Styela clava: one gene and its partner. The protein of the gene in region 1 purifies or fractionates together with the protein of each later gene. This does not show direct contact. Links are inferred from orthologs where the notes say so. Each region holds a gene or a part of one and is shown on either strand. Other genes may lie near its edges.

Region 1 (7,614 bases):
AGTTATATGGAGAAAATAAGAAATATGAATGTTTTTTCATGTGTGGTAAATTCAATGCCAGAGTCCAGAAACATAGTGAAAAATTATTCACTAATAGCAATGCCTTATTCAAGTAATGACCAATTACTCTATTTCGCAGAAATCTTGGCTTGACTATGCAGCGAATTGACACAGCGAATTAAAGACCACTAGTTCAAATTCCATGACCACCAACTCACTTGAGACATAAATTGGTTAATGCTAAACTAAAAAGATTCCGGTCTCTCCAAAAATTGTAGCTCTCTAGATATCAGTGAATGGTTGTACAGAGCCTTGTTCTGAGCAAAATTTATTTGGGCACAGAGATACCTAATTGTTGACGTTGGCCTTGTATAATATATACATAACACCAGTCAACGTAGAATGTCGCTACAGATGATCTTGGCTCTGTGGCAGAATTTATAAACTGATAAATTATGGATTAAATTCTGAAAAAAAAATATTCAAATATACCTCTGAATATTTTTGCAATGAATGTTCCTCCCTTCTTCAGTACATGAGTTGTTATATTCAATGCCTGACAAGAAGAATAGTTAATTTGTTATATATTCAACACTGATAATCAGTCATTGTCTATACTGTATATAACATGTAAGTAACAAAATATCAACCTGTGATTGGTATAAAATGCAACAGTACACAAGATAACAATCTACAAATATAAAAGAGTAAAATTGTAACTTACAGCTAAAAGTAATTGAGCTTGAATATACTCGTCAATGTCATGAAGTCCAGTAACTAAAAACAAATGAGAAATTTATATTATGATGAGATGTAACTCTGAAATAAATCTAAAATAGGTACGGTAACCTGCAAAATCTTGATTCTCTATAATTATCAGAATAAAGCTTGGTCTTTCCATTCCCACCTTGGCCAATTTGAATCTTGACTGGTTCATAATCACTCATGTGGATTAATCAAACTTATTGTCTTCACAATGAAGATTACATTTTGGATATGAAGTGTACTTATGAGTTGTTCTCCTAATTTATGTTGTCAGAATTGCTGTGGTAGTTGTTGTTGTGAAGAACTAATGGACCAACCGATTGCAAATTTTAAATCTTGCAGATGAAAGAAGTCGATGAAAGTCTATAACTTTAATATATTTTCAATTTTTTTTATGATGCATATGGGGTCCGATATTTAAAACCAAATTTTGCTGTTTTATTCTAAATAGAAGGAACACTGTCTCAAGATTTGACTTTGTGTCAATATATTTGAGTTCTCCTGTACTGTCATGAAATCATTACTTACCTGTAATACTTAATTCAAAATATACAAATTTGTTGGTTATTTATCATTTTTTCATATGATGCCCTTAAAAAAGATAAAAGCAATAGGTCATAGGTCAGGATTAAACAGTAAGAAAGAAACTTACCATCCGGTGCCCCATCACAAACAACCAAATCTGCAGGTTCGCCCTTGAAATGATCAACAATACTTTCTGCTGTTGAAACCTATGGTGTACGAATGGATTACAAATGAAAACATATGGTAATTCAAATGCACAAATTATACATCTAAAAATCTGTGTGATGATATATACATAGCATAATATGAAGTAGACTTTTGTAATTGGAGTGTGTCCAAATGACAATTGCATGTTGATATTTTCATTATTCAGACCCACAGAAATTCAAAATGAGTTTACAATATTACATATTGATCTAGTCCAGGGGTGGGCAACCCCTGGCACGCGTGCCAAACTTGGCACGCAGGCCCATTTATCCGGCACGCGAGGGAGGCTTCGGGAACGAGATCATTCTACTTCAGATAAAAAGCTTCAAGACTATGAATTATCTGATGAAACGAGGTGTTCGTTTATTCATTATCGTTTGTAAACAATACGTTATTCGAATCTATTTGTCGGACTGATATTACACCGATTAGTGTATCTGTCCGTACGTGTTTGAAAGGTTTAATATTGTGTATCTCTGCCTCAAGAGTGGTAAAGCATGGTTTTTGATTTTGGTTGGCACGCGGAACAATTTTGTCGATCAACTTAGCCGATTTTGGAATTTGGCACACGAGTCGAAAAAGGTTGCCCGCCCCTGATCTAGTCTAATCTGACACCATTCAACTTTATGATTGAGATTTACAATTACGATGCTATTTTGATATTGGCACTCCAATTTTGATGTGACTATTCATTTAAGACCAACCATGCTCCCTGATTCTCTGAGTAGTAGGCCCTAACATTATTGAAGAATAAAAACTTGAAAATGAATATTCTAAAAAAACTAGGTCACACGAGAAATAAAGTCATGACTCATGAGTTAAATTTTTTTTAAAACAACATCTTGCCTTTGTGATATCTCCTTGTATTTGTATAACACCAGGTAGTGGAGCCATTGCCTGCAAATCTACTGCTACAATCTTTACATTTGGATTCTCTTGTCCAGTGGGCCCTCTGAAATATTTTTTTCTACAAGTTAACAAGTGTGAAAATGCAAGGGAACAGAAATTGAATCTTCAGAAAACAATGTTTATTTGTAGTAGCATATAAGACTTTGTATAACATACATGCAACCAGAAGAACTTAGTTTATTAAACTTCTTGGATTTAAGAATCCTTCAGTCAAGAAAATAAAATGTTATATTCCAGTATTAATGCCATGACAAAAAAACCTTGATTATTCACCTTAATGTTCTTGTCAAAACTTGGCTCCAACTGCCTGGTGCAGCACAAAGGTCAACCACTCGTTCAACACTTTTGTTCAAAAATTTGAACTCTTCATCTAAATGTAATAATTTGAATGCACTGCGTGCTCTCCATCCTTCTTCTTTTGCTAATCGGTAATAAATATCACGCTTGTCTTTACTCGATTTTCCCATTAAACTAGACTTGTATAAAGGTGGAATTAAAAAAAATTTGAATATCTAAAAAATTAGAAAATTTCAATTAGCTCAATTTGCTGATAAAATATAACTTAAAGAACCAAGATGATAATTTCAAATTGTAGGCCTATATTAAATTTCGAGCAATGAGAACACTAAATGCATTTCTCTACAATACAGAGCCAAATATGTTAATACCATGATTCAATTAATCTCCTATGAATTGGATTAAAAATGACTTCTGTTATCAGTAACAGGGAAAATAAATATCTCAGGACAAGATGAGTACCAACAAACGAGCAGGTTTGGGCCTATGCCGACAAATCCTTGTTCTCAACTTGCCTACAGTAGCATGTACAATAACAATTTAGTGTTTGAGAAAATAGGAAAAAAGAAAATTGCTCTTTGAAAACATACAACAGGGATGAATAATGCCACAATTTTCTATTTTAATAAAATATTGACCGAAAATTTGCTAAAAAAACAAGATAAGTATTGTATATATGCATAGATAAGTGTTTAATACAACTTAAATTTGACAAAATAGATTGAACATGCTTTTGCTAACAAAATTTTGACCAAGCAAAAGCCATGGGTAAAAATGAATATACAGGGTGTCCAAAAAGTTTCGTCCGATTATAAAGTCTTTATAATCAAATGTTATTTTTTTTCTTTTAAAAATGATTTATAGTCAACCTCTTTCTAATTGGATGTTATAGATGTTGAATGTTATAGTCCCTATTTATCATAGAACCAAATTTATTCAAATTTGCAATTGGTAATGCTATGAAATCGGGCGGAACTTTTTGGACACTCTGTATGTTACATAAACTGAGCATATCAACTAAATACCTGCTGAGTTGCATTAATCCGATTCGGGGACAAATTTCAAATCCAGGTTGGGACTTATTGCACATGATACTTTGACTGGGGTAGGAGAAGATTGTGTTCTCTCTCAGTATACAAAAGGAATCAGTGCTCTTCTATGCTTTGGATATTGTTTGAATGTTGATAAATACCATTCATGGGACATTTTAGCCATTCCAATATGTATCACAATGACAAAAACAATAGCATATCTCCAAGAATAGTGCGAAAATCCTACTATGAATGTCAGAGCAGTGTAGATCAATATTTCAGTAAAATAATGAGGACAGGACACAAATTCAAAGAGATCACCAGTGGGGATTTTATATTCAGATTTATCAGAAATTTTTCTCAACTTAGCAAATATATGAAAACTTTGATTTTGATAATATGAGGCCACAACAAAGAGAATTATTCCAACAAAATGTCTCAGTTCGATATCACCAGAAGGTAATTTTTCAATTGCACCAATTTTTGAAACAATAGTTAAAGGCTCAAAAATATAGAAAAAAACACCAAGAAAGTAATGGAATAAATTTATAGTAGCTTGCTTGGAAAATTTGCTAACATATAAACATTCATATAATCTTCGACAACCTTGAATAAGTATAAGTGTAAAAGCAAGCAATAACGACTTCTTTGTTATCAAATTTCGAGTTGTACTCGATTCAGGAACAATGTACTTAATGATCAAACCTTTTTGCGTATCAGAAAACCAAAATATTATGCTCAAATCTGCGATGAATATCAAATTCCATAGTACAGAAATAGCATAAAAATGTGTGAATATCTTCTTTGGTAAATTGAAAAACTTAATGGCTTTTCCAGAATTAAGTTTGCCATATTGAGAAGCTATTGTCATCAGCTGCCACAGAACTCCGCCATTTTCTTTATTAAAGGTGCAAAGAGCGACGAGAAGTAGAACAAGGAGGAATATCATAATAAACCATAATAATTCAATTGTGTCTCCAATAGTTGGTGGAACATAATCCATGCCAGTTGCTCAACTATTACAGTATTAGGTTATATAACTTTGATCTGGTGAAATAAATCTGTAAATTTCACATATTACAGTATTATAATCTTATAGAAAGCTAAATCCAATACATGAAATACTGGAAGCTAGTTCACTAAACGCTGTCAAGTACTTTTAGTTGGCGTGGCATGACCATTTTCACATATGTCATAATGATATCTATCCACCACCTGACTACGTCATCCAAAAATTACGTCACTACAGCGTAACAATTACGAAATATGACCCGTCAAAGTATACGAATCGTCGTCCAAAAAGCGCAGACGATCACCCGAAATCAAGCAAGCTATTTCTTTCGTTTCCTCGTCGTAACGATTCCAATATCAGAGAGATAGCTAGCGTTAGCGTGTTCGTTGTCTTCAGCAGAGATGTCATTTCGGCCATCATAGCTTTTCTTTGGAAGCTCTATGACGTGTTTGTGACGTAAAAATGGGGTAATTTTCGGATGACGAAGCCAGGTGAGGAATAAGGGTCTCGTATAGTTTCGTACATACCGTACTTCTAGTAGGCGTAGCATAACAATTTTTCGACATGTCAATCCTAACCCTCACCTGACTACGTCATCCAAAAATTACGTCACTACGACATCACAATCACGTCATAGAGCTTGCCGAATACTCGTACGATCGCCCGAAATGGCATCGGCGCCGACGATAAAGAACTGACTAACGTCAGCAATCTCTCTCTTATCGGGATCGCTGCGACGAGAAAACGAGAGAAATGGCTGTTCGATTTCTCGTCTGCGCGTCTTGGATGACAGTTCGATGACATAGGACATGGATGACATAGTCTGAAAAGTTCTATTACGTCACTGTGACGTAATTTTTGGATGGTGTGGTCAAGTGGGGGTTAGAATTAACACGTGAAAAAATTGTTATGCTACGCCTACTAGAAGTACCGTACGTTAGGTACGAAACGACATGACACCCAGGAATGACATATGCAAAAATGTTTGTGCCACGCCAACTAGAAGTACCGGTACTTTCGTCGTTTAGTGAACATGCGCCCAATATGGAATATCTGAATACTGCAAATATGAATGAATGATGGACTTAACGTGTAGCTGCATATCACGTCAGTAATATATAGAGATAGGCCATAGGCCTAGCTGATACATCCCACACAAATGCGGTACCAACCTCTGCCCAGTTACACCAACAGCCCGAGTATGGTCCAACAAAAACGAGAGTGGGTACACGGATAAATCCTACCGAACTCAAGCGTATGCACAGGTTCTTTCCCAGTCGGGAAATTGAAGTCCGGAAATATTGGAAATTGACTCCCACTCCGGATTAAGAAAACATTTGCGATGTGTCACCGTGTATAATTGTGAGTCCGGGTCGTAAAAAATATACTCCGACTACAGCTCAGAACCCAGATTATCGCCATGACCTCATTTGAATATCTGTCCCAGAGCTCATTGCTGGCAGAAGTTTTGTTTTCAGAATACTTCAGGAGGTCCGAATCATGTGCTATAAAGTTAAACTTCGGAAACCATAGCTCTGCAAATTTCAACTATATTTTTTATTTATGAAAAATGTAATTTGGAAACGCGATTCCAAAAAATGACTGAAGTCGTCCAGAAAATGCTGCACTGCGAAGAGAGTTTTATCTTATATAGCCTATCTATACTATTACTTGATTCAAACAATATCATATGTATTGACTCAGAAGTGTGGAAGACTTACTAACTTACTTCACTTTTTATTATTCTAGAAAAAATATTTTTTACTCCCGCATGTCTACATGAAATCTGGTAACAGCTTCGGTATAGCGAATGCTTCTCAATTCAATGAGGATGAGCCGAGGAGATTCTAAAACGGATTTGGATTCGAATCAATACCACGCGTTTGTAGCACTCAAAATTGAGTTCTTGTTGGACATTTCACTTTATTTGTCACTAACCATAAAACCCCATTAGTGGTCTATCAATGTGCTGATGAAGCATCTATTTATTGGACACGTTTAGTGGCCATAACGATCGTTTCAATATTATGTTGTTCTTGTTCTTTGACACGTTTTTGAAAAATCGCTTTTCTCTTCGAATACTGGACCAATTGCTTTGAAATTTTCAGGGGTTAAAGATTAATTTCTTCGCTAGAAGGCTATTACTTTTATTTATTTCAAAATTCTGCGTGAATTCTATGAAATTTGATATTTCGTCTAAAATTCTGCTGTGTTATTTTTTATCCATGGGAACACACATTTTAGTCAGTGTCATGACTGGCTGTACGTTTTGATTCTGCAAAATTCTTGCTACTGGAAATTCAGAACTTTTTTGAGGGTACCGTACCGGTAGCGTCAAAGGTACCGGTAAAGACTTATTCGCTCTGGTCTAACGTGTCCATATATTTGTGCGTAGCTCTCTTGTTTTTTATGTGATCTTCCGAAAATAACTTTCCGATGATCGGAAAGTTTTTGTTGGTGCAGAATATTTGTGTGTTTCAGGGTTGATCGCAAAATAAAATAAAAAATCTACCACGAGTAATTATCCGCTCCTGATTGATATACTTTCAGAACAATTGTTATAACATGAATTAAAAAGGGGTTATCAATATCTTTTTAAAATAGCGTTTATTACGTTCAATCGCCTGCCGAAATATAAAAACACGAAAACTTTCGCTAAATGCAACAAAATTGTGCTCAGAGCTAATAACAAGCTTAAAAGCAGAAACTATAGGATGAGCGACGTTATAACGTTTGTAATAAGGAGATCCGCTATAATGCATGAGTGGATGCACACCCCGTACCATTTGCGCAAGCATTGTACACAACCATCGTCAATAACAGTGAAGTATCGAGGTCAAAATTTAGTTCCTTCTGATTAACATGTCT
Region 2 (7,220 bases), on another chromosome or scaffold:
CCCGGTCTCCATATAACCACTTGATTAAAAACTGTCCCACTACATAACGTTAAAGACTTCCAAGTTGGTCTGAAATTAAAATATCAAGATTTAATTTTTAAATAAATGAAATTGAAATCAAACCAAAAACCTAGACTGGCTTTGGGTAACTTGGGTGTACATTCATTATTAAGGCATAAGCAACATTGTAAACCTACGACTGCGGGCTGTATAACAGCATGTTCGAAATCACAAAAGATTATTAGCCTGTGCTATACCGGACTATATGGATGCTAGATAACAAACCCATCGACAAGAATGAACAGAATCGAAAAAAAGACTACAATATACTCTAAATTAAGGCATGTTCAATAAAAAACACATTGACACAAGTGTAAAATGCAGAAAAGTAAAGTCAAGCATAGTTTTTGAGATAAGTAATACCTTTCGTCTGCAACAAAATATGCAGAGTACAAAATACATTTTTCTTCGCAATGAGATTCCACTATAATCTTATCTTGCATCCAATCATATAAAACTACAGAATTATGTCCAAGCGCGAAAGCGATCTGATCTGTGAGTCTAAAAAAAGCATTACAATATTTTAGTAAGTAATTTAAAAAGTGGTTAGTTCTGACATTCATACATGATAAACATACCTTGGAATGTCATCGTTTACAATGTCTCGGTATATTAGCGAAACATCCCATATCCAATCATGAATTTTAGATGAAAAAAGTATCTGTAACAAATCATCATCATCTAGAAAAAAAATGAAATGACTCATCACACAGAAAAAGTGGAAATCTTATATTTGTTCAATCTTAGTAAAATGTTTCTAACAAATTCCGATGACTCCTATTGAACAAATTCATGAATGTTGATGAAATAACTAACTTTACGAGTTTACGAACAAAATTAAGTAATTTTATGACAGTTAATAAACATAGAGACAAAACTATGTAGAATTAGAAAATGGGAACGAATTTTAGATATTCACATTTTTTGAGTAAGTTGCACAAAACAAGTTCATGCGGCTATATGCAAAAGTTACATGCATTTCCTAGCAAAGTTGTCGCCAACTAGTGGAATGCGAACGATTGAAATTATGCAGCATATAATATTGTACTTTAGGAGACTGCTGACCTGGTATAAACAAAGATCCACAAACCTTCAGTTAATTTGCAAATGCACCATTCTTGTCCACCATATGCAACAATAAAAGAATTTTGACAGTTGAAAACCTGAACGATCACATAATATGAAAATAATAAACTCGGACAGAGAGCAAGAGAGATTAATTATTTGTCAACCAGAACAACTATAATAAAAATATACAGCAATATACGTAAAGTTACTTGGTATAGACTGGGGAGAGCTCTCCCCATATTCACTATTTTGTATTATGTATACGATACTGACGATTATGATGAGTACATGGTGTATAAAAGGGCTAACTGCCAGAGTTTTATCTACATTTTCAATTCAGTTATAAAATCATAGAGCTTTGAACCCACAATTGATGAACAATCAATTTATTGATGTGTTCAAAACTTAAAAAAAATGTTTTAGGAGACACTTAATGCAAAAATTACAAGGGAGTAATGCTAAAATATATTTTTGTAAGGTCAAAGGTCATAAAGTGTTCTAATTTGTCATAAAATAATGTTCCATGATATTAAAGAAAACAGTAAATATTGGGTGAAAATTCCGTCTTAAGGACTCAAAGAAGAAATTTAAAAAAAAAAATAAATCTCCGGGCAACTGTAACCAATTTGTCTATTAGCAATTTTTGCCCCCCAACAACAATTTAACAAAAATATATATGAAATCACCATCACAGCATGAAAACCGTCTACATATAAAGGGTTTTTGAATACCTTCAATCCATGGACAACATGACGATTGAAAATTTTCTTCACACTCAGAACTTCTGTTGTATCATTTTCTCCAGACTTAGGTGTTCGAGTATAAATTTTAATGAAGCTTCCAACACCTGAAACATTTGATGAATAATAAAACACTGAAGCAAGACATTCTTTAATACCTATTATTACGTCAAATTTACATTGCCATATTGCAAATACAAGATTAATTGGAAAAGAATGAAAGAATCGCTGAATCAGCCATATAGTTAATAAAGTAGCCTTGGACATGTAAAAGGTATATGTCAGTCAGACAGTGTACAGCACAAGTGATTACTGGATTAGGGTTTATTTAATAAAGTGCTAACATTTTTACTACTGTGCTGTGAGACTTCAATTTAATGAAGTTTAAACCAAAAAACTTAGCCATCGACTATCGTTACTTTTTCAGTTTTTAATGTCAAGATGCACTTGATGACAGACTGATTAAAAGACAGTGTGCAGACCCTGTGGATTGACCCAGGCAAGGTAAACACAGTAAAATGAATGCAGCTTGAGTTTCGCTGAAAGAATTCTAAATCGTGAATAATATTCATCAAGTTTTATCTCACAATATACAGATATACACAAGGACCCTGCAGCTCAGCACCAGTCTAACCCTGCAGCCCACAGGTATGTCAGTACTGCAGTATGTTAAATTTGTTGCTATAATAATTTTCCACTTGACGAACAGTGTTGAAGTACTGAAGTAACAAATACTGAAATATGAATGAAAAGGCTAGAAGAAGAAGACTATATAAATTTGATAACTACAGAACTACGAAAAAAAAATGGTACGGGTATGAAAAATGACCACTCAATTTGAGTCGTTATATTTTATTTACATTTATTCGCAAAAACAAAATAAACATAAGTTATATACCGGTAAACAAAAGATTAAAGCAGTACCGTAAAAGTAACAGAGTGAAGCAAAAAATCGGAAGACTGAAGTCTCTTAACATAGTGACATTACTTACCGGCAAGCAAATACTCCTTATAGACAGCAAGAGCAGTTACTGGAACTTTGATCAAAGACATCACTTTGCAACACAAAATACTGTTCAATTAAAATTATCAAAAGAGAAATTTTAAGTCAAATTATAATGAAATATGACTTAAGCACGTTGAAAAAGGGAAATCCCCTGTGAAACAATAAAATGAATACAATTAACAATGAACTCTGATCCTTGACCCCTAAAAATTTGCATTATACTTTACCAATTCAACATTTTTGAGTGTTTTGGAGAGTTGGCGCTTACAAATGTTTCAAGCTCATTTTTAATAAAAACCCAAACCGTGTGGGGCTGACAGGTGAAAAGTACTTCATGAGGCGTTGGTCCATATTATCACACGTGTAACCGGGAATGAAGAAGTTTATCGCGGTTCCATTACATTTGAACCTACGTAGGCTACATTTGAACCCACGACAATTGCACCTGCATATTATTGCACCTATGGAAATTTGCACCTACGGATATTTGAACCCATACTAACCCTAACCCATGGATTTTAGCATCCGCATATAGATTGAACCCGCGGATACACACGTTCAAATGTGTTGTCACCGTTTATAGCGAAAAGTTAGCTGATCGAACCCGAGGATAACATCCAAATGACAGATGTAATAGCTATTTGATAATGGGTTCCGTAAAAATGATTGCTCATATAGCACAAATTTACAAAGCACGTGGATTTATGGATTTGATATATACTAAAATTGCATGGCCAGGGCATGCCCTTGGTATATTTTACTCTGTTCGTTGTTACGGTTCTTTTATTATGGTTATTTATTGCCCAGTAGTGAGTAGACTATCAGTTCTCCATTTATGTTGAGAATACTCTGCGCCTCTGACTACCGCGGACAAAAATTATGTGCAATAGGATTGCTGGACTTCTTGCCACTGTAACGGGATTCGCGTAACCGCTGGTTGGTTACGCACCCCTCCCCCTATTAGTTCCACGCATCTGAAACAAATAACTGGATAACATATCGTATACCCGACATGAACTCTCGTAACCGAACGAGAGGCCGTGGTCCGCTATATAATTAAGTCGTCTTATCGGCCTTCCTCTCCCCCGGAATAAATATGTCCTATAGCTATGGATCTTACGAATAAATAAAACCCTCGTTTGGACGAAGATGCATATCATTTCAAGAAAATAAAAAAGTCTTAGAAATTTTTTTCAGCAAATGAAAACAGGATTTAATTTTCATTTTTTGCCGTCTAATATTATCTTCATTGAATAATTTATTTATTCGCTTTCTTATGAATGACAATAAACGTTGTAAGTCTAAATAAATCACGTGATTTATTATGAGTAATCTGTAAATAAAGTTTGTCACTATTATTTCCATATTGATGTAACGTCAGATGAAATATGGCTATATAAATGGCTCAGTCACATTAGAATTGTTGTGCAAGAAATTTTTAAACTAAATTACGCCCAAGTCATTCTTGAATTGAAACATTGCACATAGATAATGTTGTCTGTTGATCGTCATAAATGAATGGTATTAATGCACACGAATTGCATTGATTGTTTAGTTGCTGTGAGCAATAAAGAGACGTATTGTTGATAAACGTATCTCTGCGCTCGAGCTTGCGTGGGCCAAAACGTATGTCATTAGTTGACAATTCCCAACATTATATTGAGAAGGAATATATGTACTTGCGTGATTTGAAAGTCTGGCAGATATATCACAAAGTAGCAAATTGTTATATCAAGGGTACACGATGGGAATCGGTCTGTGTGTGCTAAATTGTTACTCCACGTATTATCCCTTACTGTATTCTAAAAGAATTGTTTGATAAATCGACATAAAACAATACATCTACGCTATTTGTAATGCATTTGTAGGTGTATTGAAATTCCTATAATACGTAATCAATTCTATCACATATACAGTAATGCATTGAATACGAGGAAGTAGTCATTAAGTTTATTATCAGTCATTATTATAAAATATAGGTCATTATTATCATAGGTTAAGTACCTACGTAGGCTACGTCAGATAGCACGCGTGAACTCATTTCATTGTTTTGCGTCAGTGCTATCATAGGAAAATTATGACTGTTTTGTAATTGATGATTTTATTTAGATGCGTTAGTAAATTTCATTGCGCATTGTATAAATGGCGCTTGCAAGTGACACGAACAATTTAGATTTTCAAATAGGCGCAATTGCTGATTTTGGTGGAAATCATTTTATTGTATAAAACATTTGATGTATTTTTATGAGAAGATGCTCAAAGCAGGTTCAAGTGCACTTACTTAGGAATAAGAAGAACTCATTTTATAAAAAAAAATAGGAAAAGTAGAGTGCGAAGAGCCACTGAAATCATACAGATTAAAGCGAGCATTGTGCACAAGTACATGTTGATGCAAGACTTGAAACAGTTGAAGTCATTACGATCGCTACATTACGCTATGAGTTGTTAATTCCGTAATATATTCTGAAAATTTTGATAAAAATATTTCTTGGTTTTGAAGGTTAACTGCCAGCCGAAACTCTTTTTTTTTTTTGGTGGGGCGTAACCAGAACGTCCATAAGCGAGTTGTGGGATCTTTGGACAGAATGTGACAGGAATAATCCAGAGAAGGACGTAGGCCTATCACTTAATTGTACAAATGACGTAGGCCCTAACGAGAAAGATGCCTGCCGCTACGGTAGAAAGATCCAACGTTCTCGCGTAACCAAAGAATATGTACAATATCATTCATAAATAATAATCAAGTTAAATATTAGGACATAACAAGCATATCAAGCAAGCGAGAGTTAATTTTCCAAAGTTCTTACCTGAAAAGGCCCCTATAATCGGTCCATCATAAAGATAGGTCGGCAAAACAGTTTAAACATGCTATCCTGTATTTGGAAACCCGTTTCTAATGGATTTGGCTGCTTGGAACTTAACACTGATACAGCGATGAAGAATGGTGATATTAGCAGTATCTACACATGGTGCAAATGAGATTATCTGGAAGTTGAAAATTGAATTGAAGATTATCTGGATTGAAATTGAATGTAGATTGGACTTTCAGAAGAAATAGGTAATGTCTGGAAGCGGATGGATGACTATCAAGAACCATTGTGGCGATGACGTTGTTTTCGCAAATGATTTTCTGATGACAAACAATTTACCATGTAATATATAATTCAATTTATTGCATAATTCCGTTGCGAAAGATCCTATAAAAAACTTCAAAATATTCAAACAAACTGACTCAGACGCCCAAACCAATTTAATGTGCATTAATAACAGTTAACGAATGAAATATGGAATGGTTTCAACGAAAGAGGCGATCAGATTCGAGATAAACAGTAATGATACTGATATACGTGTTTCATGCCATTTGTTGATGATAGACGGAATGCTATTTGGACGATATCTACCGAGAATCATGATATCGCCTTCGTTTTTAATTAAATGTCAAAACAACAGGGGAGGAACTGGCCTGAAGCAAGTGCACAGAACTAAACAAGACTCAATTCAAATCAAAGCCGGTACGTTACTTCAAATCAAGGCTGTATTTGTTGAAAAATGATTTCACGAATAAAGCGTCTTCATCCTGAGAGCAATTTATTTTTTCCATCCTAATAATTAGAGGTGGAATCCCAAATTTACCGAGGACTGATAATGAAATATGGCGGATAAATTTTTCCAATGAGATTAAATCTCTCTTTTTACACTTGTGTGTCGTGAAATGGACAGGCAAGAAATGAAATACTATGCCATAAATTTTGGTAGAAATCGAAAAACGAATACAAGTGAACGGACAGAAATTTATAGTTAATATCGAGAAGCGCCGAGCTTGTCCTTTAATGTGTTTTCAGTACTGATTTCAACTTTATCATTTAGTAATATTATTCTTATGATATTCTCAAACATCAAAATAAAATATTGAATACAGCACTGTTCTTATATAAACTAATAAAAAGAAATGGGATTTTGTATAGGCTATGCATAAAATTGTATCGCAGGTGCGCTATGTGTCGGACTTGATATTATAGCGCGACGACTTGTAAATTGATATGAAAATACAATGCTCTTTTCAATTCAATGAGAAGTCAATGTGTAATGTGTACAAATAAAATAATGCGATACCATTATTATTTCAGTGTTTAACTCGTTCGGAGATATCTATTTACAGTAATAATAGTGAATAGATATCTTCAAAAAATGAAATAATTTGATTGCCGCTGGATATTAGACAATCAAATGAATTATCAAGTCATTCATATTCGACTTAATTAAGACTGGCAAGGAAGCTCAATTTTATTCTTCTAAATAAAAAGTGAGTTATTGATGTTTGCTCAAACTTAACGATGAAGTATACG

What was found.
Region 2: the proteins of tRNA (cytidine(32)/guanosine(34)-2'-O)-methyltransferase-like (region 1) and tRNA (34-2'-O)-methyltransferase regulator WDR6-like purify together in Homo sapiens (affinity purification with mass spectrometry; 3 studies listed by BioGRID and IntAct, with this or other methods). This does not show direct contact. The link is inferred for Styela clava from reciprocal best matches to the Homo sapiens genes FTSJ1 and WDR6.

The regions. Positions count from the first base shown.
Region 1 is NC_135263.1:13,288,933-13,296,546, reverse strand, and holds the start of tRNA (cytidine(32)/guanosine(34)-2'-O)-methyltransferase-like, read right to left. Parts: upstream 3,015-7,614; 5' UTR 2,874-3,014; coding exon 2,680-2,873; intron 2,450-2,679; coding exon 2,344-2,449; intron 1,497-2,343; coding exon 1,418-1,496; intron 778-1,417; coding exon 725-777; intron 557-724; coding exon 493-556; intron 1-492. Other genes in the region: polyprenal reductase-like, read right to left, coding at 3,832-4,737. UniProt on the Homo sapiens protein: Methylates the 2'-O-ribose of nucleotides at positions 32 and 34 of the tRNA anticodon loop of substrate tRNAs. Requisite for faithful cytoplasmic translation.
Region 2 is NC_135254.1:10,191,477-10,198,696, forward strand, and holds the start of tRNA (34-2'-O)-methyltransferase regulator WDR6-like, read right to left. Parts: upstream 3,011-7,220; 5' UTR 2,922-3,010; coding exon 2,861-2,921; intron 1,976-2,860; coding exon 1,860-1,975; intron 1,224-1,859; coding exon 1,151-1,223; intron 742-1,150; coding exon 639-741; intron 562-638; coding exon 424-561; intron 70-423; coding exon 1-69. UniProt on the Homo sapiens protein: Together with methyltransferase FTSJ1, methylates the 2'-O-ribose of nucleotides at position 34 of the tRNA anticodon loop of substrate tRNAs. Required for the correct positioning of the substrate tRNA for methylation.